2 linked regions of the Callithrix jacchus genome follow. The protein of the gene in region 2 interacts with the protein of the main gene of each other region in a biochemical or structural test. Links are inferred from orthologs where the notes say so. Each region holds a gene or a part of one and is shown on either strand. Other genes may lie near its edges.

Evidence for each region.
Region 1: of the proteins of TOP2A (region 2) and PIAS4, one has a biochemical effect on the other in vitro, tested with the Homo sapiens proteins (2 studies listed by BioGRID). The link is inferred for Callithrix jacchus from reciprocal best matches to the Homo sapiens genes TOP2A and PIAS4.

The regions. Positions count from the first base shown.
Region 1 is NC_133523.1:3,756,580-3,772,062, reverse strand, and holds the start of PIAS4 (E3 SUMO-protein ligase PIAS4), read right to left. Parts: upstream 8,616-15,483; 5' UTR 8,591-8,615; coding exon 8,564-8,590; intron 6,207-8,563; exon of another isoform or gene 5,917-6,206; intron 3,994-5,916; coding exon 3,570-3,993; intron 1-3,569.
Region 2 is NC_133506.1:92,849,254-92,864,097, forward strand, and holds the start of TOP2A (DNA topoisomerase 2-alpha), read left to right. Parts: upstream 1-1,803; 5' UTR 1,804-1,931; coding exon 1,932-1,952; intron 1,953-2,195; exon of another isoform or gene 2,196-2,615; intron 2,616-2,863; coding exon 2,864-3,019; intron 3,020-3,216; coding exon 3,217-3,307; intron 3,308-3,964; coding exon 3,965-4,028; intron 4,029-5,811; coding exon 5,812-5,957; intron 5,958-6,145; coding exon 6,146-6,243; intron 6,244-6,455; coding exon 6,456-6,668; intron 6,669-7,955; coding exon 7,956-8,129; intron 8,130-8,327; coding exon 8,328-8,429; intron 8,430-8,536; coding exon 8,537-8,674; intron 8,675-10,043; coding exon 10,044-10,182; intron 10,183-10,866; coding exon 10,867-11,024; intron 11,025-11,327; exon of another isoform or gene 11,328-11,686; intron 11,687-11,876; coding exon 11,877-12,002; intron 12,003-12,917; coding exon 12,918-13,028; intron 13,029-13,176; coding exon 13,177-13,282; intron 13,283-13,372; coding exon 13,373-13,482; intron 13,483-14,823; coding exon 14,824-14,844. UniProt on the Homo sapiens protein: Key decatenating enzyme that alters DNA topology by binding to two double-stranded DNA molecules, generating a double-stranded break in one of the strands, passing the intact strand through the broken strand, and religating the broken strand.

The sequences.
Region 1 (15,483 bases), on a different chromosome or scaffold from region 2:
ACAGAGGTGGCGGAATCCCCATTCCCCAACCACAGGCATGGGAGGCCCCGGCAGGCCAAGTGGGTCGTGAGTCAGACCACCCCGCACATGGGACAGTGACACAGGATGGCCATGCCCACCCTGTCTCCCAGTGCACAGATGGACAGGCGGTAGGCCTGGATGGAGATAGCTGGCGGCCACTTGCCTCCTGTACCCCTCAGTTTTCTCAATGACCCCAAAAATGACACCAGAATCTGAGACCAGAAGAGCTCCCTGGAACCTCAGGGGTGCTGCAGCCCTGGGACAAGGTGGGGGAGGGTAGCCCCCAGCCTTCCCTGGGCCCACCGTTCTCAGCCCAGCGTGCTCGGGTTCCAGCTTCTGCTGCCCGCACTCAGGCTGCTGTGTCCCTCCTCCTGGGTGCCCCATGCTCTGGTCACAATGGACTCCATTCAACCTCATGAAAGAGCCCTCTCTCGCCTTGGCCTTTGCCCTCGTCCTGGAACACACTCCCCTGCCCCTCCTCTCTGCCTGGCTTCTTGGGAGTCACCCTTGGGTCTGGACTGGAATGCTGCTGCCTCCAGGAAGCCTTCCTGACTGCCAGTGCCTCACAAATGTACAGTAAATGGCTCCTACTACTTACTGACAGCTGTCCCTGAAAGCCCTCCATCTGCTATGAGACACCTATCACTGGCACTGTCTCGTCACCTGCTGTGCTGCGCCTGAGCAGGGACCATGCTACCCTGCCTGCAGCTTGAGCAATACTGGCCTGAGGGCTTCAGGGCTGAATGAAAGGCACATGTGCCTCCGCACAGCACAGCTACACCGGCGGCTCTTGGCCGGTGCCAGGGCTACCTGCCTCTGGGGGCGTTTGGAGCCACGAAGACAGGGACTCTACTCTGCATGGCAGGTGGGCGGGCAGGCAGATTCCTTGGGGCGCCCACTGAGGGCCGAGGCCCTGGAGAGCAGCTCTGTGCCCAGCCAGTGAGTCCTTCCTTCTGCCCTCTATCTCCTGACAGCCTCTACCCCCACACGCCCTGACAGGAGGCTCAAGCCCCCTAGTCGGAGGCGCAGGCTGGGCAGGGGTGGAGCTGACTATCTCGCTGAGAGACAGGACAGTCTCCAGCTTTCATGAGGTCCTGGCTGGAGCCTCTGCTCAGGAGCAGAACCCAGAGGACTTGGGAGGAGGAAGGCGGGCTGCTGTGTGACCTTGGGCCATTCTCCGCACTGTTCTGGGCACCGGCCCCTCCCCACACAAGCACCCCCCCGATGGAGCTGATCATTTGTGGCCCGAGGTCCCCGCAGCCCGCTCTGCGGCTCTGTCACCCCCTCCCCCAGCCCGGCATTCCGCGCCGCGTGATTTATGGCTCCTGTCTGCCTGGTGCGGTCTCCATCCTGGAGCCGGCCGGCGGCTCTTCCGGGGAAAAAGACCAGAGAGCAGTGGGCCTCATGGCAGACGGTGGGTCACAGCCACAGGCTGGGGCGAGGGGAACCAGTGGAGCTGAGTCCTCCTGAGGTGGACCCCAGCAACGCCAGCACCAGAGAGGGCACCTGGGGAGGGACACAGCCCAGGGTCAGTGTGGGCATGCGGATGGCATCTCAGGTCCTCAAACCATGCGGACCACTGCTTCAGGGCCAATCTATGCTCTGAGAACCCAGGGGGCCCCTCCGAGAGCATGGGAGTCCAGGGAAGAGGGTTCACCGGAGGGAAGCACCCTTCAAGGCCCTGGGATGGGTGGGAGCAGCGGGCAGGAGAGGCAGGGCGGGGTTGGCCTCTTTGTTCTGAGCCGCCAGCAGAGTCATCCTGGTGTAGACAGGGGAGCAGGCTCTCCCGGAGATCAGGTGACCGGGGTCCCTGGGGGCTCAGGGCACAGCGAAGCATTGTAGGGCGGAGCGACTGGTCCCCGTGCAGGAAGGAAGCCGTTCCCCCACCCTGCACCAAGCTGGCCCTGCCGCTCCCAGGAAAGCCCAGCCTCCCTGCCACGCGGGTCCCTCTCAAGACCTGACCTTCAGAGACAGCCGGCTCTGCCCCAGAACCCAGCATGGAGAATGGCTTCCCTCACGAGGGAGCAAGGCACAGAAAGTCAGCCTGAAGGAACTCAGGCCAAGGCCTTGAGTCCCCCAGGACAGGTGCTGCTGGGCCAACCTGCTCTGTGGGAGGCTGTGCTAGATACCTCCCGCCAGGAGAAAGGTAGGGGCGGAGCCTCACTGGGAAGGCGGAGCCTCAGGCTGGAGGGCGGAGCCCCGGCTGCCCAGGAACCACTGGCAGTGCCTTTCTCCCTCCTCCACCTCCTCCATTGTCACCAGGAAGCTCAGCCCCTCCAGCCTAACCTCACAAAGTCCCAGGTCTGTAGGCGGGAGGGGAAAGGCAGCCAATACCCCCTCTCCCCACCCCATCAACCCCACCTCCCAAAGCAGGGGTGAGGGGGGCCAGCTGGCACCCAGTGGACTGAATAGTGCCAGAGAGGGGCCCCCAGGCCACAGCAGGGGCCAGGCAGTTCGCTGGGTCAGCAGGGTGGGAGGGGCGTGTACAGGGCTTCTGAACCTTGCAGCCTTGGTCCCGTTCCCTGCCACGTGCCCACGCCTGGTGCCCGTCATGCACCCACCCAGCAGGCACTCTGATGTTTACTGCATGAAGGAAAGAGTGGGGGCAGGGGAGGGGAGGCAGGAAGAAGAAGCAACGGAGAGGTCTCCAGGCACGGAGGGTCCCGGTTGTAAACCAGAGCTCCTCAGGGCGTAGGTTCTGCTCACTATCTGGGAGCCCCAGAGGCTGCACTCTCTCTGCCCTGGGGGCTGGGGCTGCTCAGGCCTCCCTGGCCCTGAGCTCAGGGCTATGGCTGAGGCAGACATTCCTGCAGCCTGGCAGTGGCCTGAGCCCGCTGACCAAGGCTATTCGTGCAGGCTGCAGGCAAGGAGCCACAGCCTGGGGAAAGGAGGGAAGGCTGATGCCCCTGTCCAGCACCCTTTCCATGGGGAATAAGCAGGGAAACCAGGCTCCCAAATGGCCCCGGCAATCACAGCCTGGTGTGGTCCCTGCCTGCGCCACAGTATCTGTGTGAGCAATGGACTCGGTGCGGGAGGCGGTGAGGCGTCTGAGGTTGGCTTATAAAAAGGGCTCCAGCTCCCAGCTTGGTGGGCAACACTCACTGGCCAGGGCGAGGCAGCCACAAGGCAGACAACACAGGGGGCTGCACGGTGAGGACCTGGGGACTGTGGCCAAAAGCCAGCGAGGAGCTGAGGCCTGCCAGACACCGCACAAGGATGTGGCTGCTACAGCCCCGGTCGAGCCTCCAGATGAGGTAGCTCCAGCCTGACTTGAGTCTTGTGAGAGCCCCGTGCCCCAACGTCCCACAGTGAACCTAACAGACAGCCACTGCTTCCGGCCACTCCACTGCGGGTAACGTGTAACACACCAAGGGGTGAACAATATCAAAGATGGTCCCTTTGCTTCCCGGGAAGAACACCCTTGCCACTGTGGCTCCCCGCCCTGGCTGCGCCACACAGGACCTCCCTGGAGGTCAGCCACGTCGCTGGGCTGGGCGGGCCTCGGCGAGACCTCTGGGCGCAGCCTACCCGGGGCGGCGGCCACTCACCTAACTCAGTGGGCTTCAGCAGCTCGTCCAGCATATTAAAGAAGGGCAGCTTCACCAGGCGGACTTCTGGCTTGAGGGTCTTGGTGGGCAACCGTCCCAGTCCATTTAAGTACTTCCCGTAGAGCACAGGGTAGTCAATATTGGGGCCCGCCAGCGGAGTCCTGGGCACGGCGCCGGCCCGGTCGTAGGTGGAGTGCATGGTCAGGGGGTCCAGGGGCCGGTGCGGCTGTGGCACAGACTCCGAGGTCTTCTTATAGCGGGTCTCGTACAGCTCCTTGATCTTCTTGAACAGCTCTGGGCTACAGTCAAACTGCACCAGCTGGAGGGCTCTGGTGACAAGCTCGTGCTTCAGTCCGCTCTTACTCCGGCCCACGAAACCCAGGAGCATCTGAAGGTCGGAGACTCGAAAACTCATCACCATGTTCTGAGGGAAAGCAAGCAGACAAACACTCTCAGAGGCCAGAGCTGCCGAGGCAGGGGGTGCCGTGGAGGCCAGGCCCCGACACGGGGGCCTGAGAAACACCCACTCGCCAGGAAGCACCAGCCTTGGCGGGGGCGGTGGTGTGCCCTGCCCCTACGGTGCCCCCCCCCAGCAGAGCCTCGCCCCTCCCTCCTCATCAAACTTTCCCCAGCACCGCCAACGCAGCAAAAGCACCTCTGACTAGGCCCCCCTTCTATTTTAGGTTCTCTTCCCCTGTCTTCGGCCTGAAAGTATCCCTGGGGCAGGAACTGGGAATCGTGCTTTAAACCCCCTCTGCCAGTGCCTAGCCAGCAAATGCCAAGTGCCTCTCTGACCCTCAGTCTCTTCATCGGGACGATAAGAACAGAAAGCACGGCTGGGCAGGCCTCGACCCCCGTCGGCCACAAACACACTTCCCTTGGGTCTCGCCGACGGCAGCCAGTTTACTTAGCACTAATCACCTGCCGGGAACCGAGCCGGTCATGTGATTACATATTTAACTCTGACCCTTCTAACACCTCTGCTGGCTGGTGCAAGCTCTGTCACAAACGAGGAACTGCCGCCTTAGGGGCAGCAGTGACAAGATTCAGGCCCAGGCCTGGCTCTGACACCAGGGGCGGCTCCTGCTCCCACACTACCCTCCGGACGTCAACTCAGGGACCTCCGAAAGTCAACTCAGGGACCTCCAAAACATCTGCTCATCATCCCGTGTGGGGTTTCTCCCCTTCAGCCCTGTGGACGCTGGGGCCGTCCCGGGCACTGTAGGGTGCTAAGCACCTCCCAATTCATAACAACCAAATACATGTCCAGATGTTGCCCAGACTCCCCCTGGGGGTCTAGTCTGAGGGGAGGGCAGCAGCCACGGGGCTGTTGCGGGACGTGGTCCTCATCTCCCGGCAGGAGCCCTGCAGTGAAATCAAAAGCAACAGCAGAGCCCAGCTGACCCTAGGTTTTGACTGGGGGTAGCCTGGCTCTGGCCCCCCTCCATGAGGGGTAGGACTCTGAAGGGGAAGGAGGGCTCCTCAACAAGCCGCAGAAGCCAGGTGTCCTCGAGGGCCGGCTGGCAGGGTGTCGGGGCCACACACCCTCGGCCCGGAAGCTGGCCTGGGATGAATGAGACGTGGGAAGGAGAAACTTCCGGAAGGAATGGGAAAAAGCTGGTGCCGAGGGTGCTGAGGAAAGTTGACGGGCACCCGAGGAAATCACTCCCTCAAACTACTCTTGAAAGACCCTGAGGGGCGAAGCTAGAGGCAGCCTCACTGGGCAGTCTGCACCGCAGCCTCCGTGCCAGGAGGCACAGGGGTTTCCGGCTCCCGGCTACCCAAGGGTGAGGCCAGGAGCCCAGCAGCACATTTTAGCAGCAAGGCTGCAGCAGCCCCGGCCTAGTGGCGGAATCCTCATCTGCCAGCTGACATTTCTTCCAGCTGTACCGGCCCAGGGTCCTGCTGGAGACGGAGAGGCTGTCCAGGCTGAAAACGACAGGGACGCATGTGCAGGTGGCCCAGTCTTGCCCAAAGAGCCTGAGGAGAACCCTCTTCCCTATCAGGGATGCGTGACCCCGAGACTGTAAAGAATCAGGGACACAAGTGTCTGCTCCCTGCCAGGCACCAGCAGGGCCTTCCCGTGTCGCCAATTTCACAATGACCACACCCATCATGGAGGTGAGGAAACCGAGGCTCACAGAGGGAAGCAGCTGGCCCACAGCCTCCCTAGCACAAGCACGGAGGTGGCATCGGCCCCTGGGCCCCCAAGAGTGCTCCCGTCCGAGGCCCAGGGGACCCTCGCTCACCAGCACACTGGCTACGGGGACCTGCGTGGTCTGCTGGGCCTGAGTCAGCGAGGCTTTGCAAACAAAAATGCCTCATCCCTCTCGGCCTGACTTCCTACCTCATGCAGAAAACAAAAGGGCTTGCGGACAAGATGTTTCTTCTGGAAGCTGCCCAGGCCTTAGCAAGGAGAGGCGATGTCATGTGGACACTTCGCACTGGCAGCCCGGCCGAAGGCAGGTGGGCTTGGGAACCCGCTGACGTCCTGGCACCCCAGGAGCCCCTGCCCTGCCCAGGCTGGACAGTGGAGCTGCAGCTCCTGCTTTCCGGAGCACACCCCTTAGGCAGCCATATGTTCACGATTCAGATTTCCCGGCAGCTGCCACCTCGGAGGAGCCTGCCCTGGACACTGGAGGGGGGCAGGAGGACACGAATTCAGGAAGAAGCACCCAATGCCCCGAGATCACTTCCTGCCCTGGCTTCATCCTGACCCACCTGCCCTCAAAGCTGTGTTTATAAACAGCGCCAGGCCCAGGCCCTTCCGAGTTTCAACTCCAGGCTTGCCGGGAAGCCTCGTGGGGAGACAGCAGCCCAGAGACAGCAGCTGCGCTGAACCTTTCCTCCAGCACGGGGCCCTCGGAGCACCGGGGAAGCTCAGGAAGGCGCCCCTCTCCAGGAGAACAGAGATGTGTGTTGTGCTAAACGCTGTGGACTATTTCACGACACCCCTGCCCCAAAACCCGCCTCCAGACCCCAAGCAGAGGGTCTCAGATTTCAAAGTTCATTAACAAGCCCTCACCATTCAACCCTCCGAGCAGTCTGTGATGCACCCCAAAAGCAGAATCTGCAGCCATGAGTATGACAGGCTGGGGAAAGCCCCTGTAAAAAAGGGGATGTTTCGATGACCCTTAAGGCATTTGGAGGGATAGAAACGGACTCAAGGAGAAAGGCGGCCCCCCAAGGTCCCACCCCCTTGAATGGAGGCTCGCAATTTAGAGAGTCTGAAAGAAGGGGCAAACTTGATTTAACTGGGGGGCGGGGGTGGGTACCAGCCACCAAAGGGTCAAGGAAAAGTTCGTCAGATCGTATTTCAAGGCCTGGATGGTACGAAAGAGTGCAGACCCTGCCCTCAGCCAGGGTGGGGGTGGGGTCCAGGGTCACAGCTCCAAGTTGCGAGGTCTCCATGGAACTTCAAGCCCAGAGCCTGCCGCCTTGGGGTTACAGAGTTCAGGCCTCCACATCTCCAGGGTGTCTCCACTCTGCAAAACTCTAGGGAGCGGCAGAAGTGCGTGCGGAGTGAAGGCTTGGAAGGGTAAGAGGATTGGATGCTATCATCACAGAACCTTGAGGGCTGTGTTTTCAGATCCCAGCGGGTGATGAGGGAAGAAAATACGTACAGGTCAGGACCCCGGCGGGGAAGACCTAAAGTGGGGTGAGGGAGGGAGAGATCCCCTAACCTCCCTGGAAGCAGTGGCCTTGACGACACTTCTGAAGATTTTAGACGATCCTCAGCTCTAGGTAGCCACCTACAAGAAGGTACATCCCCAGGAACGGGGATACTCTGAGCTCCATCTCAGGACGATTAAAAGGTGTTCCAAGCTAGAAGGAGACGGCACCTACCGGACATGGGACCTGGACAGGGCCCAGACCGTGACAGAGAAGCAGCCGAAGTTATTCTAAAGAGGCCGGCCTCGGACCCAGTGGGGACCCTCCAAAGATCAAAATAAAGAGTATAAGCAGAAAGACAAGGAACCTCAGAAACCAAAGCTGGGGTGCAGACAGGTGCTGGGGGCTGTGCAGGGAGAAAGGGAGTCTGATCTTCGCAGCAGACTCGCTCAAGAGTAGGAAACAGAAGCGGCTAACTCTGGAGACAGTATCTGAGGCTGCACAGGTGAGGCTTAGAACCACGAGAAGCAAAACCAGTAACCTTAGATTCTGCCCCGCGGGGAACGACACAGGTCCAGGATGTCAGACTTGTTTTTAAAAAGGGGCGAGCAAGGAAGGTTTCTAACCAAGACAAGCGTTTGGGACTCCATCCCATGGCGAGGGTAAAGAGCCCAGCGTTCCCCCAGCGTCCACTCCGGTGTCTGAGAAACCGTGTCGGGAAGGGGGCGGGGTCCTGGGACCAATGCAGCAGCTGAAGACCGGCTCCAGCCCCCAAGAGGACGTGCTGTGTCTTGGGGTGGTCTCAGGGCCCTGATTTCTCCACCTGGACGGCGGTAGGACGCTATCCGGGACTGAGGGGACCCTTCGGAGCAGAGGACTCGCGAACCCCAGCCTGGCCTGTTGGGCGGGGACAAGACCCAGACACCAGTCCTGGGAGCCCTCCGGGCCGGTAAGCGCAGACACTCCTCCCGACACAAACCGGACAAATACCAGGGACTACGGCTCGGAAGCAAGAGGGCAACGAGAAGCTCAACCCATCCCGCAGCCCGGGGGCACGCTGCCTGAACCGGGAGGCGCGGCCCTGGCCCGGCGCTTGGGGACCCGGACCCTAAAGGCTCCGGCTGGGTGGGGGAACCCTGCCTGAAGCTGGGGGAGCGACCCCTGGCGCGAAGACCCGGGTGAGGCAGGAGGGCCCCGCCCCCGGCCTCCCCGCCCCCCCGCCCTCACCCTGAGCCCTGGGGTCGGGGTCTGGGGGCCGGGACGGCGAGCCGCGGGCGGACCGCGCTGTGGGGCCCCGGACGGAAGGCGCAGACCTGGACCCGCGGCCCGGCCCCCGCCCTTTCGCCCACTTGCCCCGGCCGGCGCCGCCGCCGCTCACTCACTTTGGCCTCCACCAGCTCCGCCGCCATCTTGGCCACCAGCGTCCCCCGCGCCGGGAGCCCCCAGCCGTCGCGTCACGTGACCTCCCACCACTCGCGGGCGGGGCCGCCGCCCGGGCCAATTAGCACCCGCGCGCGCTCCTCCCGCCGCCGGCGGGCGCTGCTGCGTCCTGCGCAGGCGCGCGCGGCCGCCGCCCGGGCCTAGGGCCAATCAGGTCCGCCCTACACCAGCCCCTCCCTCCTTCCCTCGTCTTCTCTAGCTCGCGGCGACCACGCCCACCCCTGGCGGCGTCTGACTCCTTAAAGGGGTACGAGCTCTGCACAGGTGGGGACGGGTGTGGGTCGCCTCGAAGGAGGGAAGGAGGGAGGGAAGGAAGGAAGGAGGGAGGGGGGCAGTGGCAGCGACCACAATGCGGCCAGGTGACGCGGCTTCTTCCGCCAGGTGCGTATCCAGACTCCCGGCGGCGTCAGGGAGGAGACGGTTGCTCCGCCGCAACGACCGCCAGTGCGTGCAGTGCGACGCCTTGCAGCGCACCGCGGTGCACGCTCCACGGGCCCCGACGCCCCGCGCGCTGCACATCCGGGTCCTGGCGTGCAGATGGGGCGTGGGCTCGGCACCCTGCTGGCTGGCGCTAGGCGGAGAAAAGCGGGACCGCGGCTCCCAAATGCCGCGGAGCTCGTGCAGCTCTCACCTCTTTGCAGGCGCCCTCTCCCATCCTGCTTCCCACCCTTGGGAAACCCTGGAATCCGCACCAGCTGCAGATTCCAAAGCGCTCCTTGGCTCCCTAGTGCCCGTAGAATTTAAGTTCAGACTTCAGTAATCAACTATTTTAGTGCAGTTTATTTTTTATTTTAGTTTTTGTAGAGACGGGATCTCATTATGTTGTCCAGGCTGATCTCGAACGTCTGGGTTTAAATGATCCTCCTGCCTGGGCCTCACAAAGTGCTGGGATCACAGGCGGGAGTCACCACACCTGGCGAGTCCAATACTTTTAATATTAAAAAAAAAAAAAAAAATCAGGCTGGGCGCGGTGGCTCAAGCCTGTAATCCCAGCACTGTGGGAGGCCGAGGCGGGTGGATCACGAGGTCGAGAGATCGAGACCAACCTGGTCAACATGGTGAAACCCCGTCTCTACTAAAAATGCAAAAAATTAGCCGGGCATGGTGGCGCGTGCCTGTAATCCCTGATACTCAGGAGGCTGAGGCGGGAGAATTGCCTGAACCCAGGAGGCGGAGGTTGCGGTGAGCCGAGATCGCGCCATTGCACTCCAGCCTGGGTAACAAGAGCAAAACTCCGTCTCAAAAAAAAAAGGCAAAAAAGTTCATGATGGATGAAATAATAAATTTTTTTCTTTTTTTGCAGAGACAGTTGTCACCATGTAGCTCTTGTCGCCCAGGCTGGAGTGCAATGGTGTCTTCTCAGCTTACTGCAACCTCTACCTCCCAGGTTCAAGCAATTCTTCTGCCTCAGCCTCCCGAGTAGTTGGGAGTACAGGTGCCCACCACCACGCCTAGCTAATTTTTGTATTTTTAGTACGGACGGGGTTTCGCCATGTTGGCCAGGCTGGTCTTGAACCCCTGACCTCAGGTGATCCGCCTGCCTCGGCCTCCCGAAGTGTTGGGATTACAGGCATGAGCCACCGTGGCATGGCCTCCTTTTTTTTTTTTTTTTGAGACAGAGTGACAAGATCTGTTGCCAGGCTGGAGTGCAGTGGACTCTGCCTCCTGGGTTCAAGCAGTTTCCCTGCCTCAGCCTCCCGAGTAGTTGGGAGTACAGGCATGCACCACCATGCCCGACTAATTTTTGTAGTTTTAGTAGAGATGGGTTTTCACCATGTTGGCCAGGCTGGTCTCAAGCGCCTGTTCTCAGGTGATCCACCCACCTCGGCCTCCTGTAGTGCTGGGTTTAGAGGCGTGAGCCACTGCGCCCTGAAATGTTAAATTCAGTGGTGCATGCGTGTGGTCCCGGCTACTCAGGACATGGGAGGATCTCTTGAGCCTGGGAGTTCGAGGCTGCAGTGAGCTGTGATTATGCCACTCCAGCCTCGGCAACGAAATTAAAGGAGACTGTAGTCTTGGACTAAGCTCTTGCGCTGAGCACCCACAGACCAGAAGAAACGAAAGGCAGCTGCTCATACTCAGGTTCTAAGCAACTTATGGTCACTGATGAGTTAACACATTCCTTGCCGCTGCTGTTTGGAAATAGGGTCTCTGTCTCCCAGGCTACTGACAATGGCCCACTGCAACCTCGACTGGCCCGGCTCAGGTGATCCTCCTCTGTCAGCCTCCCGAGTAGCTGGGACTACAGGTGCACACCACCATGCCTGGCTGATTTTGGGAATTTCTTTTTTTTGAGACGGAGTTTCGCTCTTGTTGCCCAGGCTGGAGTGAAATGGCGGGATCTCGGCTCACCGCACCTCGCCTCCCAAGTTCAAGCGATTCTCCTGCCTGAGTCTCCCAAGTAGGTGGGATTATAGGCATGCACCACTTCGCCCGGCTAATTTTGTAGTTTTAGTAGAGACAGGGTTTCTCCATGTTGGCCAAGCTAGTCTTGAACTCGTGACCTCGTGATCCGCCTGCCTTGGCCTCCCAATGCGCTGGGATTACAGCCACTCCACCCGGCCTAATTTTTGTGTTTTTTGCAGAGACGGGGCTTTGCCAAGTTGCCCAGGCTGCTCTTGAAGTCCTGAGCTCAAGCGATCCTCCCTAAGTGCTGGGATTATAGACATCAGCCACTGCGTCCAACCTATTCTTTGCTTTTACTCTCTTCAGCCTTTCTCTGTCTATAGAGCCACCCTCCTCTGCCCAACTGATTGGAACAATTACCCTATTTTATGGAATGAAGTATAGCAAATTGCAGTGAAGCCAATTAAGGTCCTTAAATTTATTGAAATTGTTCATTGACAACAGAATAGAGCTCTGCCATGGCACATGTGAGTCTCATCTCACCCTAATTCTGGCCCTGTCGATTCTGCTGGGGATAGGGTTTGGTTTTTGTTTTGAGACAGAGTCTTGGCCGGGTGGGGTGGCTCAAGCCTGTAATCCCAGCACTCTGGGAGGCCGAGGTGGGCGGATCACAAGGTCAAGAGATCGAGACCATCCTGGTCAACATGGTGAAACCCCGTCTCTACTAAAAATACAAAAAATTAGCTGGACGCGTGCCTGTAATCCCAGCTACTCGGGAGGCTGAGGCGGGAGAATTGCTTGAATCTGGGAGGCAGAGGTTGCAGTGAGCCGAGACTGGCGCCTGGCGACAGAGTATGACTCTGTCTCAAAAAAAAAAAAAAAAAAAAAAAGAGACAGAGTCTCGCTCTGTCACCAGGCTGGAGTGCAGTGGTGTGATCTTGGTGACTGCAACCTCTGCCTCCCAGGTTCAAGCAATTCTCCTGCCTCAGCCTCCTGAGTACCTGGGATTAAAGACGCACACCACCACACCCGGCTAATTTTTGGTATTTTTAGGAGAGATGGAATTTCACCATATTGGACAGGCTGGTCTCAAATTCCTGACCTTAAATGATCCGTTTGCCTCGGCCTCTCAAAGTGCTGGGAATACAAGTGTGAGCCAAAGTGCCTGGCCCGGTTTTTTAAATCATAAGTTGTGTGTGTTTCGGTGAAGTTTAAGATTCACAAGAAGTTGCAAAAGTAGTAGACGGTTCTGTGCACCTTTCTCCCAGCTTCCCCCAGTGATAACATTTTACACAACTGGCCAGACGCGGTGGCTCAGGCCTGTAATCCCAGCACTTTGGGTGGATCACCTGAGGTCAGGAGTTCAAGACCAGTCTGGCCAATATGGTGAAACCCCATCTCTAGTAAAAATACAAAATTTAGCAGGGCGTGTTGGTGCCTGTAATCCCAGCTATTTGGGAGGTCAGGGCAGGAGAATTGTTTGAACCTGGAGGGTGGAGGTTGCGGTGACCTGAGATCGTGCCATTGTACTCCAGCCTGAGCAACAGAGCAAGATTCCATCTCAAAAAAAAAAAAATTGCTGAGCCTGCCTGTAGAAACTGCCAGACCAAGGCGTTTCCATGTTAGCTGCTTCCCCATTGACCCCAGTTCTCTGATGATGAAAGCCAGGATCAGATGGGAACCGCCTGCTCAGGCCCTGGCCAAGCCACTTTTTTCTTCTTTTTTTATTAGAGTCCCACTCTGTCACCCAGGCTGGAGTGCAGAGGCATGATCTCTGCTCACTGTAATCTCCTGCCTCAGTCTCCTGAGTAGCTGGGATCACAGGTGCGTGCCAACACACCCAGCTAATTTTTGTATTTTTAATAGAGACAGGGTCTTGCCATGTTGGCCAGGGCAGTCTCGAACTCTTGACTTCAGGTGATGTACCTGCCTTGGCCTCCCAAAATGCTGGGATTACAGGCATGAGTTACCACACCTGGGCTTTTAAAAAAAAAAAAAATTGTTTATAGATTTGGGGGGTGGGGTGGGTGATACTATGCTGCTTAGGGTGGTCTCGAACTCTTGGCCTCAAGCCATCCTCCTACATTGGCCTCCCAGAGTGCTGAGATTACAGGTCTGAGTTGCCCTGCCCAACCTAAACCACTGTCTTCATCTGCATCCAACATGCCTTTGGAGACAGCTGGATGCAGATGAAGACAGTGGTTTAATAATGACCAGGCACAGTGGCTCATGCTCATAATCCCAGCCCTTTGGGAGGTCAAGCTGGTAGGATTGTGTGAGCCCAGGAGTTCGAGACCAGCCTGGGCAACACAGTGAGACCTGTCTCTGCAAAAAATAAAAAATCAGCTGGATGTGGTGGTGCACACCTGTAGTCCCAGTTACTCAGAAGGCTGAAGCAGGAGGATTGCTCAGGAGGTTGAGGCTGCAGTGAGCTGTGACTGTGGCACTGCACTCCAGCCTGGGCCGAAGAGACCTTGTCTCACAATTAAAATAAAACATGAAAAAGACGTGCAAGTAATGATCGCTCTGTGTTCTCCAGCGCCTACTGTATACAAGGCACGGTTTTGGTTCAGGGATTTGCAAACGTTTTCTGTAGAGAATCTGGCAGTATTTTCTAGTTTTTTGTTTTTTTGAGATGAAGTTTTGCTCTTTCAATCCTATTTTTGTTTTTGTTGTTTTTGTTGTTGTTTTGAGACGGAGTCTCACTTTGTCGCCAGGGTGGAGTGCAGTGGTGCTATCTCAGCTCACTGCAACCTCCGCCTCCTGGGTTCAAGTGATTCTTCTGCCTCAGCCTCCCAAGTAGCTGGGACTACCAGTGTGCACCACTACACCCGGGTAATTTTTTTTTTTTTTTTTGAGACAGAGTCTCACTCTGTAACCCAGGCTGGAGTGCCCTGGCACGATCTCAGCTCACTGTAACCTCTGCCTGCAGGTACAAGCAATTCTCCTGCTTCAGCCTTCCCAGTAGCTGGGACTACAGGCACCCACGACCATGCCCAGCTAATTTTTTTGTATTTTTAACAGAAACGGGGTTTCAGCATGTTGGCCAGGGTGATCTTGATCTCTTGGCTTCGTGATCCGCCCGCCTCGGCCTCCCAAAGTGCTGGGATCACAGGTGTGAGCCACTGTGCCCGGCCCTAATTCTTGTATTCTTAGTAGAGACAGGTTTCACCATGTTGGCCAGGATGGTCTCAATCTCTTGACCTCATGATCTCCCTGCCCGGGCCTCCAATCTTTTATTTTATTTATTTATTTATTTTTGTGGAGGGGGGGCCTCCAATCTTATGTATTTTCACATGTCATGGTATTATTATTATTACTACGCTTTTGTTTGAAGGTTTAAAAGATAAAAAAAGGCTGGGGACTATGAGTCATGCCTGTAACCCCAGCACTTTTGGAGAGCCGGGCGGAAGGATCGCGTGAACACAGGAGTTCTACACCAGACTGAGCAGCAGCAGCTCTGCCAAAAGTAAGACCTGAACCGCGCATGGTGGTGCACGCCTACAGTCCCACGTGCTCGGGAGGCTGAGGCAGGAGGATGGCCTGAGCCCGGGAGTTGGAGGCTGCAGTGAACTGTGATGGTGCCATTGCACTCCAGCCTGGGCGACAGAGCAAGACTGTCTCAAAAACAGTAATACAAGTGTCAAGTTAGATGAGGGCTGAAGGCTGTGGTTCGATACCCTGTTAGAGATGCTTGGACACAGCGCTGACAGCAGGCAAAATTCCCTGTTCTCGTGGAGTTGACGTTCCAGGAGATGAACGGCAAACACCATCAAAAGCTAATTACAGGGCCGGGCGCCGTGGCTCACACCTGTGATCCCAGCACTTTGGGAGGCCGAGGCGAGCAGATCACCCGAGGTCACGAGTTCGAGACCAGCCTGGCCAACATGGTGAAACCCCGTCTCTATCCAAAAATACAAAAATTAGCTGGGCGTTGTGGTGCATGCTTGTTAATCCCAGCTACTCAGGATGCTGAGGCAGGAGAATCGCTTGAACCCGGGAGGCGGAGTTTGCAATGAGCTGGGATCACGCCATTGTACTCCAGCCTGGGCGACAGAGGGAGTCTCCATTAAAAAAAAAAAAAAAGCTGAATACAGAACAAGTTCAGGCACTGCTAGGGGGTAGACAGCCAAGAAGGCAGAGAGGGAGGCTTTGGAAAATCCCCACACAACCAATTTAAAGCCTGTTTTAGGGCAGAATTTAGCAGATCTTAAATCAGATCCTTTGCGACAACCTTCACAAACCACCTCCACCGTTACGTAAGATGCACAGAGATAGATGGGGAGAGGCAGATACACAGACACAGTTATTCCCTTTGGCACTTAGATAAATGGAGTCGTTTCCTGGGTAAGCATACCTGTGAAACTGAGTTTGGTGTTAGCTGCATGTTAAAGCATCTCAGTTCTATGTGTTTGTGTATATACGTTTCAATACATAGCAATATATTGCCACAGTTGATTGCATTTCCTGGCTCTAAAAGATTGTAGGCTGGGCACCGTGGCTCACTCCTGGCATC
Region 2 (14,844 bases):
CTTTTGGAGAAGGAATTTGTGGGACGAGCATGGAAGGAAGATCCTGGAAAGGAGCAGAGGTAGTCATTGCTGACATGTCTCGAGCACTTATTACTTGCCAGGCAATGAATGCACTAAAAAAAATTTATTTTTGTTTATTTATTTATTTTAGCTGGAGTTTCGCTCTTGTTGCCCAAGCTGGAGTACAATAGTGCAATGTCGGCTCACTGCAACCTCTGCCTCCCAGGTTCAAGCGATTCTCCTGTTTCAGCTTCCCAAGTAGCTGAGATTACAGGCACGCACCACCACATCCGGCTAAATTTTTTGTATTTTTAGTAGAAACGAGGTTTCACCATGTTAGCCAGGCTGGTCTTAAACTCCTGATCTCAGGTGATCTGCCTGCCTCGGCAACCCAAAGTACTGGGATTACAGACCTGAGCCACAGCGCCCGTCAGAAGTTCGAGACCAGCCTGGCCAACATGGTGGAACCCCCACTCTACTAACAATACAAAAAAATTAGCCTGAGGTGGTGGCACTCTCCTATAAATCCAGCTACTCTGGAGGCTGAGGCAGGGGAATCACTTGAACCCGGGAGGTGAATTTTGCAGCGAGCCGACATCGCGCCATTGCACTCCAGCCTGGGTGACAGAGTGAGACTCCATCTCAAAACAAACAAACCTTCAGTCTTAGGCATTTCCTTGTCAAATCGGAACAGCTGTTCTAAACCGCAGCGTTCTTGGAGGTGTGCAAAAGTAACCAGTCAGAGGGCATCTGGCCAGCTGGCTGCCGAAAAGGTTTCAGCCCCAGACAGCCCGAGCCCACCCTCAGCTCAATAGGCCATAACCACAAGTTATTCCTTTAAATTTGCCAGTTGCAGTCCAGAGCTGCTCTACTGGGAACCTGAATGCTGCCCTCCATTCTGCATCCTTCCATTATATGGGAACCCCAAACCACAACTATAGCACTTTTACTTCTTTAAATTATTTTTATTCTATTTTTATTTATGTATTTATCTCTCGAGACGGTTTCAGTCTGTCACTCAGGCTGGAGTGCAGTGGAGCAATCACGATTCGCTGCAGCTCGATCTCTGGGGCTCAAGCGATCCGCCCTCCTCAGCCTCCAGAACTGCGGTTAGCGGCTATTTTTTTTTTTTCTTTTTGGGTAGAGATGGGGTTTTGCTATGTTGCCCAGGCTGGTCTCCAACTCCAAGGCTCCAGTGATCCACCCACCTCGGCCTCCCAAAGTGCTGGCATTACAGGCATGAGCCACAGCGCCTTTATTTCTTTGAGAGGAGAGGGGGCGGGGTTCAGGCACACGCCAGAACCTGTTCGCTTCAACCAAGCAGCCAGGCGGCCTGTCTGTAAAGCCGGCACTGAGTTTCCTCAGGAAAACGAAACTAAGGCTCCCATTCCCCTCCCTAGCAATCTTAGAACAGAGAACAGTTTTTAGATTTCAGAAATCTTAAATAGACTGTCAGCTCCTGGAGAATAAATACGCTTTGCTTTTCACCTGGACACTTTTGCCTCAGGAAACCCCTTCCCGCTTCCAAGGCCCGGCTCGCCGAGATTTCCACCAGAGAAAACAAACAAACCCTCATTATTAGCCAGATTCCCTGTCAGTCTCTCCGCTACGACGCCGAGTGGTGCATTTTGAAATCTCTCTCTAGTCCCGCCTCCCTTACTTGATTGGTTTATTCGAACAAACACCTGACCAACTCAGCCGTTGATAGGTGGATATAAAAGACCAGCTACGATTGGTGGTTCTAGACAGAGACTGCGAGATCGAGTCAGGGATTGGCTTGTCTGCTTTGGGCGGGCTAAAGGAAGGTTCGAGTGAGCTCTCCTAACCGACGGGCAGCGGTCTGAGGAGAGGCGGCTTGGTCTGAGGTCGTTTCGTGGGTCCTGCCGGTTTAGTCGCTTTCAGGGGTCTCGAGCCCCTTCACGACCGTCATCATGGAAGTGTCACCTTTGCAGGTACGGCTCGTGGGAGGGACTGGCGGTGGTGTGCCTCAGCTCGGCCCGGGCATCTCTCTGGCCGCCCGTGACGGTTGAAGCTCTGGGGCTGCTGTCCGGCCGGCGACCCGCTTGGGAGCCCATATTCTCCACCTCCCGGTTCCGGGGTGATCGTGGAGAGGCGGAAGCCCTTTACGGTGCTAGCAGTGAAGTGTGTCGGCTAAACCGGCTTCCAGGGTGCGTTGCTTTGTTGCCTGTGTCTAGGGGCCGCATTCCGGTGTCCCGCAGTGGATCCGTGCTACAGCGCCCCGGGCGCGATGTTACTGAGTCGCGTGTACCGATGCCTTCCCCTCCTGCCCGCTGCTTGAAAACGGCCTTGAATGTCTCCGATCTTGGAAAGGGCAGAGCCTAGCACAGTGTTCCCCAGAGCAGCTGGCCGGCCTCCAAAAGCGCCCCTATCCTGAGCTCAGAACCTTCGTGTGGCCGAGGGATTGAACTGATAGCCGCCCAAGCTGCTGCTGCCGAGCTAGACTCTGCCGTGTGCTTGGGACACCGTAAATAGTTTATAATAATAGGCACTCGGTAAATAATGCGTGCAGGAGCTGAAAGAGGTGGGTGTATTTTTTCGGTGACATCTACCACATTGCTCAAGAGAAGAGGTTTTCAGACAGACCGACCCACTTGGTGAGATAACATGTGTGTTTAACCTGACACCTGGGGACTTGGCTGCAGCTAATTTAAATTGTCCTCTTTGTACTAAACTGTCAACTCCACCGCTACCTACTAATAGATTCCAACATGTGTTGACATTTCGTTCCTGGTTTTAGGCAGACTTACGATTAAAAATCCCCTTCTCTCTCTCTCTCTCTCTCTCTCTCTCTCTCTCTCTCTCTCTCTCTCTCTCTCTCTCTCTCTCTCTTTTTAATTGCTAGCCCGTAAATGAAAATATGCAAGTCAACAAAATAAAGAAAAATGAAGATGCTAAGAAAAGACTGTCTATTGAGAGAATCTATCAAAAGAAAACACAGTTGGAGCATATTTTGCTCCGCCCGGACACTTACATTGGCTCTGTGGAATTAGTGACCCAGGTAAAATCAAGCTTATCAAAGGCAATCACCGAGCAGTTGAAATGGATACTCTCCCAGCTGACCTTTCTGTACTTCTCATGTACTGAGTGTCACCGGAACTGGCCTCAGTATGGTAATAGTTAATACAGAAGACTTTACGGTAATCATGACAATAAATATAGAGTAAAAATAACAGTATTTCTTTGCCTTATTTCTAGCAAATGTGGGTTTACGATGAAGATATTGGCATTAACTATAGGGAAGTCACTTTTGTTCCTGGTTTGTACAAAATCTTTGATGAGATTCTAGGTGAGTAAATCCTTTAATATAAAGATCTGTTAGTCAAATCTTTCCTAAGAAGTATCATTTCAAATAAAAATCAAAAAAAGGCCAGGCCACGGTGGCTCATGCCTGTAATCCCAGCACTTTGGGAGGCCGAGGTGGGCAGATCACGAGGTCAGGAGTTCAAGACAAGACTGGTAAACATAGTGAAACCCAGTCTCTACTAAAAAATACAAAAATTAGCTAGGCATGGTGGCTCCGGCCTGTAATCCCAGCTACTTGGGAGGCTGAGGTAGGAGAATTGCTTGAACCGGACCTGGGAGCCAAGATTGCGCCACTGCACTCCAGCCTGGGCTACAAAGTGAGACTCCATCTCAAAAAAAAAAAAAAAATCAAAAAAAGATAAAAGTTTAAAAAAAAAAAAAAATATATATATGATTTCTACCAAGCCTGCTGTAGCCAGGGCTCCTGTCATTTCAATTAGTTAACAAAGGTGAGATGGTTTCCTGGAGCCCAGGAAGTTGAGCTTTCTCCTGGAAACAGTACTATGAACAAAAATTACTAAATTAACAGCTTATTAATGCCACTCTTGTACTGTTGGGAACTTTTTTTCTATATCTTAGAGTTATAGAATGTTTTTTAAAACACTAATTTCTTGCTAATGTGTATTTTATTTTCTTACAGTTAATGCTGCGGACAACAAACAAAGGGACCCAAAAATGTCTTGTATTAGAGTCACAGTCGATCCGTACGTCTTTTGATTAGCTTTTGTTTGTTATGTAGCTCATTGTTATTTTAGTTGCATGTATTTTGATTACTGGTGAAGTTGTCTTTTTTTAAACAGAAGTTCACAAAAGTACACACAAGCAGAATGCTAAAATGAAAAACCTATGGATACCCACCACTTAGATCCAACAGTTGTCAACATTTTTCTACATTTTGTCCATGTTTTTAATTAGTTTATTTATTTAGTTAGTTTGTTTGTTTACTTTTGTTTTACTTTTTTCTTAATTTTTTTTTTAGAGGGTCTCCCTTTGTTGCCTGGCCTCAAGCAATCCTCCAGTGTTGGCATTATGGGTGTGTGCCATGGCAGCTGGGCTATTTTCTCGGATCATTTCAAAATAAATTACAGGCATTATGACACCTAATCCCTAAATATTTGAGCAAGCATCTTCAGTAGTTGCTTTAAGTATTCTGGCATCTGGAGTTTTTTTTCTCATGATGCTATTCAAACAGTAAACCAGTAGGTGGTGGTAGATAATAATTTGATCTAACATTTCTGGGTGTCCCTTTATGAGCAATCAGGGTGCTTATTTTGCTTTTTTGTTGTTGTTGATGTTAGTCTGATTAATTATGACAAAGTATACGTGGATTTTCCTAAGAACTCAATGTCATAGTCTTTAAAAACCGTTGAGCTAGTTTTAATTAGTTTTTTATAGATAATAAGTACTTTCTGGAATAAGAACCATAATGTATATCTAGTTATAACTAAAATATATTACCATCCAAGAATTAACTTAAAATAACTGAAATAAATAAGTCCAAACAAGTTTTCAGCATTTTATTTCAGAGCAAGGCAGTTTATGATTGATACTGTTTTTCTATTTTATGTTTGTTTTGCAATGTACTTTGTCGAGTGGGAACAAGAGATGTATAGATGATCCTCTTAAAAGGGGTATAATAGGCATGGTAGCTCAGTCATAATCCCAGCACCTTGGAAGACCAAGGATCAGTCTAGCCCAGGAGTCGTTTGAGAACAGCCTGGGCAACATAGTGAGACCCTCATATCTACAAAAAATTTAAAAATTAGCCAAGTGTGGTGGTGCATGCAGCTATTTGGGAGGCTAAAATGAGAGGATTGCTTGAGCCCAGGAGATCAAGGCTGCAGTAAGCTGTGATCCTGTCATTGCACTCCAGTGAGTGACAGAGCAAGATGCTGTCTCAAAAACGGAGTAGGAGTGGTATATAATAATGTTTCCAGATTGTCCTTTTCTTTCCCTTGGGCATAAATCATTTCCTTTTGTTTATCCTAACATTTTAAAATTTTATATTTTTTCAACATTATCAGTGTCTACACAGGTGTTGGAAAAATTTTTTTTTCCTCTTGACTCCTATTTCAGGAATGTCAGGAACTAAGCATGGTGGGAAATGTAGTTCATGCTGAATTTCAGAAGGTATATATGAAAAGAGTCAAAGAAATTGAGGGTTGGGTGTGGTGGCTCACATCTATAATCCCAATGATTTGAGCAATTCTCCTGCATTAGCCTCCCTAGTAGCTGGAATTAGGTGCACATGACTGGCTAATTTTTGTGTTTTTAGTAGAGACAGAGTTATACCATGTTGGCCAGAATTTCTGGCCTCAAGTGATCCACCTTCCTCAGCCTCCCAAAGTGCTGGGATTACAGGCGTAAGCCACTACTGCGCCCAGCCTGAATATACATATTTTAGAAATAATTGTATTTAAATATTTTTAAATGTTGAGCATTCATTTAATGTGTTGTACAATACAATTTTCAATCTTGTTTTCTTAGGGAAAACAATTTAATTAGTATATGGAATAATGGAAAAGGTATTCCTGTTGTTGAACATAAAGTTGAAAAGATGTATGTCCCAGCTCTCATATTTGGACAGCTCCTAACTTCTAGTAACTATGATGATGATGAAAAAAAAGTGACAGGTAGAGTATTGAGGGGAAATAACATATTTGTTGCTAAAAATATATATATTTTAAGTAACTATCTGTGGCATGAGGGTTAAAAATATGGAAATAAATCTCTATAATTGAATACCTCTGCCAGTGATTAGGAAATAAAGCTGTCAATGAGATAATAACAATAAAATAGTGTTTCATATTTATTTGCCCAGGTGGTCGAAATGGCTATGGAGCCAAATTGTGTAACATATTCAGTACCAAATTTACTGTGGAAACAGCCTGTAGAGAATACAAGAAAATGTTCAAACAGGCAAGTAAATAGGTGTCTTTTACCTTAATGATAAATGGTAGTACTATAGCCATTTATAATGGCATTAATGGCTGGTTTAATTTAACATAATTTATAAGCATGGAAAATTATTCATAGGCATATATTAGGTTATTAGGACTCATAAATTTATGTTATTTACTAGTTGTGAGATGACTTGAATTTTTCATCTTTCCTATTCTTTACTTCCATAGACATGGATGGATAATATGGGGAGAGCTGGTGAGATGGAACTCAAGCCCTTTAGTGGAGAAGATTATACATGTATCACCTTTCAGCCTGATTTGTCTAAGTTTAAAATGAAAAGCCTAGACAAAGATATTGTTGCACTAATGGTCAGAAGAGCATATGATATTGCTGGATCCACCAAAGATGTCAAAGTCTTTCTTAATGGAAATAAACTGCCAGTGAGTATTTTCCTGGATATTAAGGATAATAAGGGACTTTGTAATCATTGTCAAGTACAAAGTTGATTTTCGCCCCCCCCATATATTTTGTATGTGTGTGTGTGTGGTGTGTGTGTGACGGAGTCTCGCAATGTTGCTTAGGCTGGAATGCAGTGGTGCAATCTCGGCTCACTTCAACCTCTGCCTCCCAGATCCAAGCGATTCTCCTGCCTTAGCCTCCCCAGTAGCTGGGATTACAGGCACCCACCACCATACCTGGCTAATTTTTGTATTTTTAGTAGAGACGGGGTTTCACCATGTTGGCCAGGCTGGTTTTGAACTCCTGACCTCAGGTGATTGAACCATCTCAGCCTCCCAAAGTGCTGGGATTACAGGCATGAGCCACTGTGCCTGGCCCATCCCGTATATATTTTTTACCACTTCTCACATATGTTTCTGAAAAGAGAATGTTACTCCACATTTTCTTTTTCTTCTTTTCGACGGAGTCTTGCTCTGTCACCCAGGCTGGAGTGCAGTGGCTCGACCTCGAATGGCTGCAACCTCCACCTCCCAGGTTTAAGCAACTCTCTTGCCTCAGCCTCTCGAGAAGCTGGAATTACACGCACCCACCACCTTGCCTGGCTAATTTTTGTATTTTTAGTAGAGATGGGGTTTCACCATGTTGGCCAGACTGGTTTCGAACTCCTGACCTCAGGTGATCTACCCTCCTCATCCTCCCAAAATGCTGGGGTTACAGGGATGAGCTACCTCACCCAGCCGGTATGCCACGTTTTTTAATCAGCTCATTTTAAATTTACTGAAGGAATTTCTTTCTCAAAGAAACACCTAAAATGCTTTCATGTCCTTTATTTATTTATTTTACCTTTTTTTTTTCTTTTCTTGATAGTCTCTTGCTCTATCACCCAGGCAGGAATACAGCGATGCAATCACAGCTCACTACAGCCTCCACCTCCCAGGCTCAAGCAATCATCCACTTCAGCTTCTGGAGTAGCTGGAAATACAGGCAGCACCACCATGCCCAGTTAATTTTTTTATTTTTTTAATAGAGATGGGGATCTCACTGTGTTGCCCAGGCTGGTCTTGAACTCCTGGGCTCAAGTGAGCCACCCACCTTGGCCTGTCTTTCTTTAATGATCATTCTCTTAAGCCTGTCAGTGAACATCATTCATTGCATTGGTTTTGAAAAGTCCTCATAGTCTGTCATTCAACCTATTTTTTAAATCTAATGCTATCTCCGGATATTTTTAATAGCTTTTTTAATACTATTATCCTTTAATTCTTATACAGGTAAAAGGATTTCGTAGTTATGTGGACATGTATTTGAAGGACAAGTTGGATGAAACTGGTAACCCACTGAAAGTAATACATGAACAAGTAAACCACAGGTGGGAAGTATGTTTAACAATGAGTGAAAAAGGCTTTCAGCAAATTAGCTTTGTCAACAGCATTGCTACTTCCAAGGTAATTTTATTCTTGAATTATTAATCATGATTTATGTTTACATATAGGTGTTCTTACTGTTTTTAATATATAAAGTGGACTTGAATATTGGGCTAGCTTGGTATAAAGGAGGCTAAATTCGTTTTATTTTTTTTTGATGTTTGATTATTAAAATTTTGAGGATACTGAGTTTTACAGTTTGGTGTTTTTCCTTATTAGGGTGGCAGACATGTTGATTATGTAGCTGATCAGATTGTGACTAAACTTGTTGATGTGGTAAAGAAGAAGAACAAGGGTGGTGTTGCAGTAAAAGCACATCAGGTATGTGCTTTTGGCAGTTTTCTTTTTCTAAAGTCAAGGGAGAAAAAAAAGGCTATGAATAAAGCATGAATACATTTTTAGTAACTTAATATCAACTTCTATTGCAGGTGAAAAATCACATGTGGATATTTGTAAATGCCTTAATTGAAAACCCAACCTTTGACTCTCAGACAAAAGAAAACATGACTTTACAACCCAAGAGCTTTGGATCAACATGCCATTTAAGTGAAAAATTTATCAAAGCTGTGAGTACTTAGAGGGAAATAAAAATAAAAGCACCTGACTTTATTTTCCATTGTGCTTCTCAACTCTGCAGAAACAAAGAGTCTTCCCACAGTGCACTTCTCTGAGTCTTCCAGTCTGAAAAGGAAGTAAACAATGGTTTTTTTAATCTGATTTTACTAAGGACTTAATTACTGTCTATATTTCAGTATTTCCCAATTACATATCACCGTTAAGCTTAGATCACTTTTGAATTAATCTAGCTGCTAAACACCCTCACTTTAAATGCCTGAGATTTGCCCTCAGTCAACACATCCAAAACTGAATTCATTAACTCCATAGTCACTGACTTGCCAGTACAGGCAGCTCCCCACCCTCCAATAAAGAAACAACTTCCTATCTTAGTAGAAAGCCCCAACCAACCTCTAGGTGTATAAACAAGAAAACTGGGAGCCTTCTCTTTATCCAGTCAATAACAATCATCTCTGAGGCTGCAGTAGCTTCTCACCATTATCTCTTTTTTGGTTTACTATAATAGGTTCTTAACCTTCCTACTGGTTAAGTCCTTTTCTTGCAATGCTTTTGAATGACCTTTTTGTGTTCAATAAAGCACACATTTCTGTCTTCACTCTTAATTTGAAATCTTTCAATGACTCACTCAGGAAAAGTCCAAATTCCATAATTTGGCCAACAAGAAAGATCTGCTTTAATCTAATTACATTTACTTCTCCAACTCATCTAAGTGCCACTTTTTCCTATATTGTCCTGTTGCTTTTTAAATTTCTGAAAAGCATAGTGCTCTTCCCCTCCCTAGAGTTTATTCACATGCTAATCCCTCTGCCTGAAATACATCCTTTTCACCTAGCTGACTACTTTAGATCTTGTCCATTCCTCAGGAAAGCCTTTACTTTTTACCCTTTTCCCAGCTAAATTGGTCCCAAAATGATATTGATCATACTTTATTGTCATGTAGCAAACTTTTTGTTACCCATAACACTTACACTGTAACTTATTTTATTTCTTTTTTTTAGGCAGAGTCTCGCTCTGTCACCCAGGCTGGAATGCAGTGGCAGTGATCTCAGCTGACTGCAACCTCCACCTCCTGGGTTCAGGTGATTCTCCTGCCTCAGCCTCCCGAGTAGCTGAGATTACAGGCACGCACCACCATGCCCAGCTAATTTTTTGTATTTTTAGTAAAGATCGAGTTTCACCATGTTGGTCAGGCTGGTCTGAAACTCCTGACCTCGTGATCTGCCCGCCTTGGCCTCCTGAAGTGCTGGGATTACAGGTGATCCACATTGCACAGCTTATTTTTATTTTTATTAAGGTTCATTTGTATTCTACGTTTCTGATAGAACCCTTCTTCCCTAATATGAATCTTCTCATTTTCAGGCAATTGGCTGTGGTATTGTAGAAAGCATACTAAACTGGGTGAAGTTTAAGGCCCAAGTCCAGTTAAACAAGAAGTGTTCAGCTGTAAAACATAACAGAATCAAGGGAATTCCCAAACTTGATGATGCCAATGATGCAGGTATGTATTTAATAATACTTCCAAACTTTAAGTCTTAACAGTTGTTATTCGTTAACAGTATTATACCATGGATATTTATTTTTCCCTTGGCAGAATAACTATATTCAACAGAATAACTTTGTTAAAAATCAACCTGTGGCCGGGCGTGGTGGCTCACACCTATAATCCCAGCATTTTGGGAGGCCGAGGCAGGTGTATCACAAGGTCAAGAGATCAAGACCATCCTGGCCAACATGGTGAAACCCTGTCTCTACTAAAATACAAAAATTAGCTGGGCATGGTGGCATGGTCCTGAAGTCCCAGCTGCTAGGGAGGCTGAGGCAGGAGAATTGCTTGAACCCGGGAGGTAGAGGTTATAGTGATTCGAGATCGAGCCACTGCACTCCACCCTGGCACCTGGCAACAAAGTGAGACTCTGTCTAAAAAAAATAACAACCTGTTTCCTATTATGGAACATTTAGGCCATTTTTAATTTTAGCTTGTTATAAATAATATTGAGGTTATTATTTTGGAGTATAAAACAAGAATGTTTACATTATGATCTATTACCTAACAAATAAATTTACTTGTTATATATTGTAAATTATTTGTGTTTTATCACAAGGCTATAAACAGTATGTTCAAATTAGTATATTTGAGGTTGAACTAAATGTGCTAATATTAACTTGTGTATTTTTATTTTAGGGGGTCGAAACTCCACTGAGTGTACGCTTATCCTGACTGAGGGAGACTCAGCAAAAACTTTGGCTGTTTCAGGCCTTGGTGTGGTTGGGAGAGACAGATATGGGGTTTTCCCTCTTAGAGGAAAAATACTCAATGTTCGAGAAGCTTCTCATAAGCAGGTAGAATATAAAACTATCTAAATCTAGTTTATAATGGAAGACTTTATGCTTATATTTTCCCTCATTGGGCTTTTGAAAGATATTTTGTGACTCAAAATAATCACACAATTTGTGATTATTTTGAGACATTGGGTACATTGTAGCCTATCTTTTTTAACACCACATGCAGGTAGTGTTTTATTCTTTGAAGACTGCTATTGCACTATGTCAATCTGAAAGATAAAGTTCAAAATAGTTTTTAAAGGATGTTAAAACATATGTAATGACTGTCCACTGTACAAAATCTTGATCTTAGAACTTATGATACATCCAGTTGGCAGTAGCACCAAGGTTTTCCAAATAGCCAGTCATCATTTTTCTCTTGTATGCATAGACTTCTTCTGATTAGCTGCCTTCTGCTTTTGTTGCATGATCTCAGAATCCCTCTGCGTTCTCTGAGAGGTAGTCAAGCTATCCTCTTTTCTTTTTCCCTTGATAATTTCCTGGGTTTTCTTCATGTTTTTGTGACGGACAAGTTCTCGTTGATTTCCACATGCCATGCCACTCACCGACGAATCCTAGAAGAGTGACTTGGAAAAGCAACGACACCCTGGCAGGCTGGGCTGCTGTCACCACTGTCGACCAGGAAGACTGAGCCTGTGTGGGCCCTCCGCCCACCGGCACCTCCGCTTTGCTCCGTCAGTGGCTTTGTAGCCTATTTTAACAGACCTTTCTGACTTAGTATATAAGCTAATAATAGCTCAAAATACTGGAGCTCAAGAAAATCCAAGCAACATATACTATTATATTTCTTTGTTCTTTTCAAATGTATAAACAAGACGTTACTTTTTTTGGTATATATGTCCATTTCAGATTATGGAAAATGCTGAGATTAACAATATAATCAAGATTGTGGGTCTTCAGTACAAGAAAAACTATGAAGATGAAGATTCATTGAAGACTCTTCGTTATGGGAAGATAATGATTATGACAGATCAGGTCAGATTTGTTATCAAATTTTTAGATTGTTCAACTAAATTAACCATGTCTTAGTTACAATTTTGTTTTTGGCCATGAAATAAATTACTAGGCCAGGCACAGTGGCTCACACCTGTAATCCCAGCACTTCAGGAAGCTGAGGCTGGCAGATCACAGGGTCAGGAGTTCAAGACCACTCTGGCCAACAACCTTGAACCCCGTGTCTACTAAAAATACAAAAATTACCCAGGCATGGTGGCACATGCCTGTAATCCCAGCTACTCAGGAAGGTGAAGCAGGAGAATCCCTTGAAACCCAGGAGGTACAGGTTGCAGTGAGCCAACATGACACCACTGCACTCCAGCCTGAGCGACAGAGCAAGACTCCATCTCAAATAAATAAATAAATAAATAACTTAAACAGGAGCTTTATTCATTATTTCTAATCAACATCTAATCAGATATGCTTATATCATACGTATGTTAAAATACAGGTTAAATGAGTCTGGATTTGAGCAGACCTTTTTTAATTCCCATAGAAAATTTGACAAATTGCCAGGAAGTCAATTATAATTTTTTTTATTTCTGAACAGTTCTTTTTTTGTTATTTGTTGTTTGAGAGGAGTTTCACTCTTGTTGCCCAGGCTGGAGTACAGTGGCTAAATCTTGCTCACTGTAATCTCCATGTCACGGGTTCAAACGATTCTCCTGCCTCAGCCTCCCAAGTAGCTGGGATTATGGGTGCCTGCCACCACGCCTGGCTAATTTTTGTATTTGTAGTAGAAACAAGGTTTCACCATGTTGGCTAGGCTGGTCTCGAACTCCTGACCTCAGATGATCTACCTGCCTCAGCCTCCCAAAGTTCTGGGATTACAAGTGTGAGCCACCAAACCTGTCGTAAACAATTCTTTTGAACTTTGGTTTCAAATATTTCTAGGACCAAGATGGTTCCCACATCAAAGGCTTGCTGATTAATTTTATCCATCACAATTGGCCCTCTCTTCTGCGACATCGTTTTCTGGAGGAATTTATCACTCCCATTGTAAAGGTATGCTAATTAATAAGGTACCATAATGGATATTTTAAGGCCCTACTCCTCAAACCTGGATATACGTATATAATAAGCCTAGTCATATGTAATGGAATGCAGGGGACTGCATAATGTACAAAGCCATAGTCACTGTTTTTTATCACAGATATCTAAAAATAAGCAAGAAATGGCATTTTATAGCCTTCCTGAATTTGAAGAATGGAAGAGTTCTACTCCAAATCATAAAAAATGGAAAGTCAAATATTACAAAGGTTTGTAATAAAATCCATATAGAACTTCTCACTTTATTATATACCCCATACAAGACTGTATGAGAAAAGTTAGTATTCTTGATTTTATAGGTTTGGGCACCAGCACATCAAAGGAAGCTAAAGAATACTTTGCAGATATGAAAAGACATCGTATCCAGTTCAAATACTGTGGTCCCGAAGATGATGCTGCTATCAGCCTGGTATGTACGTTTGAGTTGTATTTTATATATACATTTCAGTTTTAGAAATCACTGCTTTAGTCAATTGAAACATTTACATTTTTGTATAAGAATGTTTTATAGAGCCGGGCGCAGTGCCTCACGCCTGTAATCCCAGCACTTTGGGAAGCCGAGGCGGGTGGATCACGAGGTCAAGAGATCGAGACCGTCCTGGTCAACATGGTGAAACCCTGTCTCTACTAAAAATATAAAAAGTTAGCTGGGCATGGTGGTGCGTGCCTGTAATCCCAGCTACTCAGGAGGCTGAGGCAGGAGAATTGCGTGAACCCAGGAGGAGGAGGTTGTGGTGAGCCAAGATCGCGCCATTGCACTCCAGCCTGGGTAACGAGCGAAACTCCATCTCAAAAAAAAAAAGAATGTTTTATAGAATAGAATGTCTCCAGTAAGCATATCCCAGAGATGGAATCAGATATTTCAGAAAATTTTGATTTTGGCTGGGCATGATGACTCACTCCTGTAATCCTAGCACTTTGGGAGGCCGAGGCGGGTGAAGTCAAGAGTTGGAGGGAGACCAGCCTGTCCAGCATGGTGAAACCATCTCTACTAAAAATACAAAAATTAGCTGGGCATGGTGACAGGCCCCTATAATCCCAGGTGCTCAGGAGGCTGAGGCAGGAGAATTGCTTGTACCCTGGAGGGGTTTTTTTAGGATCATTGCACTTCAGCCTGGGCAAGATAGTAAAATCTCAGGCTCAAAAAAAAAAAGACCAAAAGGCCAGGCCAGGTGGCTCACGCCTGTAATCCTAGCACTTTGGGAGGCCAAGACAGGCAGATCACCTGAGGTCAGGAGTTCACAACCAGTCTAACCAACATGGAGAAACCATGTCTCTACTGAAAATACAAAATTAGCTGGGCATGGTGGTACATGCTTGTAATCCCAGCTACCCGGAGGCTGATGCAGGAGAATCACTTGAACCCAGGTGGCAGAGGTTGCAGTGAGCTAAGATTGTGCCATTGCACTCCAGCCTGGGCAACTAGAGCAAAAATCCATCTTGGAAAAAAAAAAGAATGGGGGAAGTAGGAGAGGGACAGCGGGGGTGGGGAGTTGAGGAGACAGAGCACGGGGAGAAATGCCAGATATAGGTGAAGGGGAGGAAGGCAGCAAATCACACTGCCACCTGTGTACCTATGCAACAATCTTGCATGTTCTTCATATGTACCCCAAAACCTAAAATGCAATTAAAAAAAAAAAAAAAAGAAAACAGGATTTTTATTGTTTTTCTATTGTTTGTTTGTTCTTTGTGGAAGGATACTTGGAACCTATTAGTACCAGTGACATCTTTTTCATCCTTAAATTTGTAGGCCTTTAGCAAAAAACAGATA